Linked DNA regions of Xenopus tropicalis. The protein of the gene in region 2 interacts with the protein of the main gene of each other region in a pairwise test. Links are inferred from orthologs where the notes say so. Each region holds a gene or a part of one and is shown on either strand. Other genes may lie near its edges.

Evidence for each region.
Region 1: the proteins of arrb2 (region 2) and agtr1 interact in a two-hybrid assay, tested with the Homo sapiens proteins (2 studies listed by BioGRID and IntAct, with this or other methods). The link is inferred for Xenopus tropicalis from reciprocal best matches to the Homo sapiens genes ARRB2 and AGTR1.

Annotation. Positions count from the first base shown.
Region 1 is NC_030681.2:122,003,933-122,008,245, reverse strand, and holds the start of agtr1 (type-1 angiotensin II receptor), read right to left. Parts: upstream 2,822-4,313; 5' UTR 2,787-2,821; intron 1-2,786. UniProt on the Homo sapiens protein: Receptor for angiotensin II, a vasoconstricting peptide, which acts as a key regulator of blood pressure and sodium retention by the kidney.
Region 2 is NC_030679.2:142,421,159-142,425,634, forward strand, and holds the start of arrb2 (beta-arrestin-2), read right to left. Parts: upstream 3,104-4,476; 5' UTR 3,059-3,103; coding exon 3,036-3,058; intron 1-3,035. UniProt on the Homo sapiens protein: Functions in regulating agonist-mediated G-protein coupled receptor (GPCR) signaling by mediating both receptor desensitization and resensitization processes.

The DNA.
Region 1 (4,313 bases), on a different chromosome or scaffold from region 2:
AAATCTATATAGTATTTGTGAGTCATAGTATTTGTTATATTTATGTACTAGGTGCATGAGCAATATAGATATGGGGTAATGTAACAACAAATATAGTTTCTTCCAGGTCAAATAACAATAGCAACCAATAAGCAAGTAGCATTTACTGGTCTGCTGTTCCAAAGCAAACATATTTTATGGGTTATTAAAACTAGAGGAAAGCTGTGCACATGTTTTTATATTACCCCCCCCCCCATAATTATATTTATTATAAAGCAACATAACCAACATATTCTGTAGTGCTGTACAATATAAGGGTGTTTACATTAAACATACATACTATTCACAAATACTGGTCCATGTAAGAGGTAGAGGTTCCTGCTCATAGGCTGATTATCTTATCCCATAATCTTTAACTGATGGGGAGTTGGTTGACCCAAATTTTATACACATATTTGCAAGTTGATAAATAGATTAGTACAGGTATAGGATCCATAATCCGTAAACCCATTACACAAAGAATTAGAGAAGGGTAATTCCCATAGACTCTATTTTATTAAAATTCAAATGATTTTACTTTTCTCTGTAATAATAAAACAGCACCTTGTACTTGATCCCAACTAATTAATAATTTATTAATTAATGATTAACTAATTATTGATTAATCTTTACTGGATGCAAAACGATCCTATCAGGGTTATTTTTTAGTAGACAAGGTATGGAGATCCAAGTTATGGAAAGACCACTTGTCAATAAAATGGTCCCATATCTGTATAAATATATGATAACTATATACTGTATGTTGATAATATGAAGGAAATATGATAGTTACATGGATAATGGAGATTTCTTCCAGTTGGAGAGTGTACTGATTTACTATTAAAGAAAAAAGTGTAAAGAAATAATAAATGTGTGGTGTAATGGGAAAGGATAAAGCGCTGAATATTAATCCAACATTTATCCCCCAAAAATGTCACACTGCCATTTGGGAAAACATTACAGAAGGCAGAGACTTTTTTTACAAGCCAAAAATAAACAGAATAACATGACACAAACCACATTAACTGTAACTTTGCACATTGTTCTGGCTGAGAGCTCAAGGCATGTGCTGCCAAAGTGTGTGTTCCAATTGCACATTGTTCTGGCTGAGAGCTCAAGGCATGTGCTGCCAAAGTGTGTGTTCCGATTGCACATTGTACGGAATGCTGCTGCTGTATGATAACCCCACACTCTGATATAAATGCTATGCACAGTAACAGAGCTCTTCCATTAAACGTTCTATGAAGTGCTTGAGGTCTGATTAGTGTCAGTGACAGTTTGGAACATGTTGTCTTATCCTACAGAATTTGACACAACAACGGAGTATCCGTTTTCATGGGGCCAAATGAACATGCTGGGGTAATAAAGTCAGTAAATGACTCATGGGGAACCATTAAATTGCATTTTAATTAACATCAGTTTTCAACCTTAATCTTTACCGCATGTACAAATCCGAAATTACAAACCCCTTTGCTTAACACTGTATCACAATTAATTAATTTATATCCAAAAACACTAGGATGCGCCCTGCTATTTGCTATTTTCTATAGATAATGGCAAAAACATATAAAAAAGCGAACAGACCACTTTTGTGGTGCAGTGTTACTGCTGCCAATGCCCCCTCACCATCTCTGCCAATGGGACAGATGCCAGGAGTCATACTGTAGCTTTGCAATGTAATGAAAAGCACTAATTTTACCAAGTAGCAGTAACCCATAGCAACTGATAAGATGTTTGCTTAGTAAAATTCTACCTGCTGATTGGTTGCTAAGGGTTACTGCACCTGGGCAAATGTAGTGCCTTTTATTACATAACCCCTTTAGAGAGCTAAGAGTTGTTCTTCCCATCACCCATGGTTAACATATAAATTGTCATATCTGAGAGAAAAGGAAGAGATAGGATATCTTCTAATTTAGAGATTACAATCCTCCTACGTATGGCAAATCTAATTCTGAAACGTTGTGCTGCATCTTATTGCCATGTCTTAATCACAATGGAAGTCATAATTTTTTATTTACATCACCTTTTTGAAAAATAAAACTCAAAGGCAATTTGAACTTTAATAAATCAGCCCCTTGTTGCAGTGGTTTCCAAAGAGTTTGAGAACTAATGGCTTACATTTGTCCAACAGATAACTTCTTTTTGTATATGGTGTCTTTGTTTTTACATTATTTTTCTGTATTGACACTGACCAATAAGTTATTAATAACGTCCCAGAACAAATCCCAGTCTACAATCCAAAATCTGTCTGGGGGTTCTGTGATCTAGATTTGGTTTATACTCAGAGCACAAGCTAAAGTCACAGTAAGCAGGTTTCTAAGCCATGTAAAAAAGATTGTGGGACTTATATCAGTATTCTAGCCACAGCGTTTTTGCATATTCAATCACTAAACTATTTAAAAAATGTCCCTTACTAATCATGTCATAAAGACAATTTTGGTGATACAGACATCCAAACATCACCACAATTATATAACTACTTTTATTCATCCACACCTCTCCTTATAAAAAAAAACTGGCACACAACCCACTAAAATGAAGGAGTTAAGGTTATGCTCAGACAATTACACGCCTCAAAACTTGTATATAGTTTTATGGCAGAAATACAACTGTGGGAAAGAAATTATGACTTACTTTTTAATAGCTTTAGGAAACACCCAGACAACGTGTAAGAGATTTCAGTTATTGTATGACATTTTGATGATAGCTGTGTAGCATAAGATATGTTTAAACAAAATTCACAGATGGATGTGAGAACAAATCCTTACCTCTACAAGCTGTCCTCCCCCTGCACTATAGGTTTATCATTTGCAGTAAGATGATGCAGCAGATGTAGCAGACAGAGCAGCAGCAGCAGCAGTCGGTACTGTAGAGTTCAGTAAGTTCCATTCAGTGACCAGCAGCTGTACTTACATGGAAAGGAGCATTGTGCTTTATCCTCCAAATCAACTGCTGGGCACGCCTCTCCTCCTCATCTGATTTATTAGCCTTGAGGAATACACTCTGTGTGTATATAGATCACAAAAATAGACTTCAATGTGTTTGGTAAAAAATTAAAACCTGAAAGGCTTATTGATTGTTGCCTGCTTGAAACACTCACATAAATGGGCTTATTTATCAATTTTTAAGTTTGTGAATTCAAATTCGTTTTTTTTTCTAAATCAAATACAAACTTGCATATCAAATGCTCGCTTATTTATTAATTAGGAAAACTTGTTTGAATAAAAAACTCGAATACCTATAATTTTTTGAGTTTACAAGTTTGCAAACTTTAATCTAAAATTAAAAAAAAAATCTCCCCCAAAGTGTATTTGTTAGGTGAGATACATGGAATCCAGAACAATCAACAGGTAAGAGTTGGTTACACCAGATTGTTTACATTAAACTTACCAGTCTTTCTTTTTTTTTCCTCTTTCTTGAGGCAGGGTTCAGTGTAGATTTTTCTACCTATGAAGATCATTAGAAAGGAAAGTCCTGTAGATAAAAGCGCAGGGGCTGCATGACAAGGGATCTGAATAACCAGTGGCCAGATTACACTGGTTTATGTTTAGAAGAATCAGGTACAACTGTGATTAGGTGAGAAGAAAAGAATTAAAACAGGAGAAAGCTGGCCTGGGGGGTGGAGAAGAGAGGGATGTGATGTCAGAGGAAGTAGCACTCAGTTCCTTTTCTTCTGAGCAGGTAGAAACCTCCCACCCACCTTCATTTTGCATATTTAGCATATTTTGCAAAATTGGCAGGAGTTTTCTTCTTTATGTTCTAATATTATCTTTTAATAACAGAATGTGGATGTTTTCCTGAATGCATTGTTATAGTGTGGTTTCTGTATCTTTATACAGTATAAATTTGAGAGTCAGCATTGTATTATTTCATTAATTACGATCACTTGATCCAGGGAATGTTTCACATCGCCATGGGAGTCAGGAAGGAATTTTTTCCCTCGTGAGGCATAATTGGCACCAGCTTCAGGTTGGGGTTTTTTCCCTCCTCTGGATCAAAACAGTGGATATATGATAATGTACGTTAAGTTTGTCACAGCAGCGGTAGGACCTTGCCAGAGTACTGCACAGGTAATTTTAACAGAGGGAGAAAGGAGACTCTCTCCTGTGACTGCACGGTGGATTGATAGATACAGCCGCTACTACTGCTTGTGCAAGGTGACAGCCTGCTTGGATTTCCTATGATCGAGACACTGCAGATCTAGGACCGGCAGCAGGGCTGTTGAACTTTTCTCATGGTGGGGGATGCAGCTCCTGCTGGTAGCAGAGTTTGGGGCCATCCTCTCTGTAGGTAGA
Region 2 (4,476 bases):
CAGTATATACAGTGCCCGTATACCAGTCAGTGTGTGGGTAACAGTACCTATACACACAGTATACACAGTGCCCGTATACCAGTCAGTGTGTGGGTAACAGTACTAATACACAGTATATACAGTGCCCGTATACCAGTCAGTGTGTGGGTAACAGTACCTATACACCGTATATACAGTGCCCGTATACCAGTCAGTGTGTGGGTAACAGTACCTATACACACAGTATATACAGTGCCCGTATACCAGTCAGTGTGTGGGTAACAGTACCTATACACACAGTATATACAGTGCCCGTATACCAGTCAGTGTGTGGGTAACAGTACCTATACACAGTATATACAGTGCCCGTATACCAGTCAGTGTGTGGGTAACAGTACAGATACACACAGTATATACAGTGCCCGTATACCAGTCAGTGTGTGGGTAACAGTACCGATACACACAGTATATACAGTGCCCGTATACCAGTCAGTGTGTGGGTAACAGTACCGATACACACAGTATATACAGTGCCCGTATACCAGTCAGTGTGTGGGTAACAGTACCGATACACACAGTATATACAGTGCCCGTATACCAGTCAGTGTGTGGGTAACAGTACCTATACACAGTATATACAGTGCCCGTATACCAGTCAGTGTGTGGGTAACAGTACCTATACACAGTATATACAGTGCCCGTATACCAGTCAGCGTGTGGGTAACAGTACCTATACACACAGTATATACAGTGCCCGTATACCAGTCAGCGTGTGGGTAACAGTACCTATACACACAGTATATACAGTGCCCGTATACCAGTCAGCGTGTGGGTAACAGTACCTATACACACAGTATATACAGTGCCCGTATACCAGTCAGCGTGTGGGTAACAGTACCTATACACACAGTATATACAGTGCCCGTATACCAGTCAGCGTGTGGGTAACAGTACCTATACACACAGTATATACAGTGCCCGTATACCAGTCAGTGTGTGGGTAACAGTACCTATACACAGTATATACAGTGCCCGTATACCAGTCAGTGTGTGGGTAACAGTACCGATACACAGTATATACAGTGCCCGTATACCAGTCAGTGTGTGGGTAACAGTACCGATACACACAGTATATACAGTGCCCGTATACCAGTCAGTGTGTGGGTAAAAGTACCTATACACAGTATATACAGTGCCCGTATACCAGTCAGTGTGTGGGTAACAGTACCTATACACACAGTATATACAGTGCCCGTATACCAGTCAGTGTGTGGGTAACAGTACCTATACACAGTATATACAGTGCCCGTATACCAGTCAGTGTGTGGGTAACAGTACCGATACACACAGTATATACAGTGCCCGTATACCAGTCAGTGTGTGGGTAACAGTACCGATACACACAGTATATACAGTGCCCGTATACCAGTCAGTGTGTGGGTAACAGTACCGATACACACAGTATATACAGTGCCCGTATACCAGTCAGTGTGTGGGTAACAGTACCGATACACAGTATATACAGTGCCCGTATACCAGTCAGTGTGTGGGTAACAGTACCGATACACAGTATATACAGTGCCCGTATACCAGTCAGTGTGTGGGTAACAGTACCGATACACAGTATATACAGTGCCCGTATACCAGTCAGTGTGTGGGTAACAGTACCTATACACACAGTATATACAGTGCCCGTATACCAGTCAGTGTGTGGGTAACAGTACCTATACACAGTATATACAGTGCCCGTATACCAGTCAGTGTGTGGGTAACAGTACCGATACACAGTATATACAGTGCCCGTATACCAGTCAGTGTGTGGGTAACAGTACCGATACACACAGTATATACAGTGCCCGTATACCAGTCAGTGTGTGGGTAACAGTACCGATACACAGTATATACAGTGCCCGTATACCAGTCAGTGTGTGGGTAACAGTACCTATACACAGTATATACAGTGCCCGTATACCAGTCAGTGTGTGGGTAACAGTACCGATACACAGTATATACAGTGCCCGTATACCAGTCAGTGTGTGGGTAACAGTACCTATACACAGTATATACAGTGCCCGTATACCAGTCAGTGTGTGGGTAACAGTACCGATACACACAGTATATACAGTGCCCGTATACCAGTCAGTGTGTGGGTAACAGTACCGATACACAGTATATACAGTGCCCGTATACCAGTCAGTGTGTGGGTAACAGTACCGATACACACAGTATATACAGTGCCCGTATACCAGTCAGTGTGTGGGTAACAGTACCGATACACAGTATATACAGTGCCCGTATACCAGTCAGTGTGTGGGTAACAGTACCTATACACACAGTATATACAGTGCCCGTATACCAGTCAGTGTGTGGGTAACAGTACCTATACACAGTATATACAGTGCCCGTATACCAGTCAGTGTGTGGGTAACAGTACCGATACACAGTATATACAGTGCCCGTATACCAGTCAGTGTGTGGGTAACAGTACCTATACACAGTATATACAGTGCCCGTATACCAGTCAGTGTGTGGGTAACAGTACCGATACACACAGTATATACAGTGCCCGTATACCAGTCAGTGTGTGGGTAACAGTACCGATACACAGTATATACAGTGCCCGTATACCAGTCAGTGTGTGGGTAACAGTACCGATACACACAGTATATACAGTGCCCGTATACCAGTCAGTGTGTGGGTAACAGTACCGATACACAGTATATACAGTGCCCGTATACCAGTCAGTGTGTGGGTAACAGTACCTATACACACAGTATATACAGTGCCCGTATACCAGTCAGTGTGTGGGTAACAGTACCTATACACACAGTATATACAGTGCCCGTATACCAGTCAGTGTGTGGGTAACAGTACCTATACACACAGTATATACAGTGCCCGTATACCAGTCAGTGTGTGGGTAACATACACAGTATATAGAGGCTACTAGGCAGGCAGACAGTGAGCAGGGTGAATGGCAAGGCGACACATACACACAGAGACATACAGGGAAAGGCGCAGTATATAAGTTCCCCCTCACAGAGTCAAATACTCACCGGGTTCCCGCCCTCTCCCCCATGTTCCAAGCTCCTCCGCTTGCTCTGTGTGTACGCGCTCCAATCCCCCACCGCGGGGACGCGCACGGTTCCACACGCACAGTAGGAAAGGGCGTGGCCGTGCGCTTCTTCCCATTTCCTGCGCGTTTTCATTGGCTGGACGATTTCCGGCCTTGTGACGGTCAGGTAGGACGCGGTCACCAAGTACTGAACACGCCCCCTCTCTGACTTGTGGAAGGAGGGGCCGGCGGCGTGACGTATATGAGTTAGAGGTCGGGCCGTACAACTGATTGGACAACAGGAGGACGGTGGAGGGAGGGCGTGGCAGTGGCTTGTAATAGGGGTTGCTGATTGGCTGCCTTGTAACAGGGGTTGCTGATTGGCTGCCTTGTAACAGGGGTTGCTGATTGGCTGCCTTGTAACATGGGTTGCTGATTGGCTGCCTTCTAATAGGGGGCGCTGATTGGCTGCCTTGTAGGTGTGTAACGCGTAATAGAATTAGCGATCGTCCGAAGGATTAAAACGTATTACTGACAGACGGTAGCTGCTCCGTAACCGGCTCAGATACCTTCCAGATAGATTGCTATTCAAAGGGACGTTTAGAATGAAGTAACAGTAATATTCTGAGATATGTTTTGCGCTTTTTTATAAGAATGAAGCTTTTTTTGTTCAATGCTGTTTTGCATTTTAGCAGCAAGCTGGTTGCTAGGGGCCAATTTACCTATAAGCCAGCGGTTTGAGGGATGTACTGGAATATGGTGATAAAAAAAGTCTGACAATTGTGACCTCACAGAATGGCAGTGTTTTGGTTGCCAGGGTCAGTGACCCCGTCCCTTCCAACAACAAGATTGATTTTTATATTGCAATTTGGCAAAGGGGCAGAAAGAAAGGCAAGTGGTTCAAACAGGCCTGGATTTCAGATTGGGCTCCCAATATCCCCATTGCCCCGTCTCCTGTTACTCCAGGGGCCCCAACTGCCCACTCACCGCCAGCGCCTCCCCCCACTTACCTCATACTTCCCCCGCAATTGGGGGAGGGCAGTGGGGGGCTGGTAGGGGCCCATGAGGGCCAGGGACCACTGAGTTTTTTTTCTGGCCCAGTCCAACCCTAGATCGATATATAGATAGATAGATAGATAGATAGATAGATAGATAGATAGATAGATAGACAGCTAAATAGATAGATACATACATAGCTAGATAGATAGATAGATAGATAGATAGATAGATAGATAGATAGATAGATAGATAGATAGATAGATAGACAGCTAAATAGATAGATACATAGATAGATAGATAGATAGATAGATAGACAGCTAGATAGATACATACATAGATAGATACATACATAGATAGATAGATACATAGATAGACAGATAGATAGATACATACATAGCTAGATAGATAGATACATAGCTAGATAGATAAATACATAGATAGAT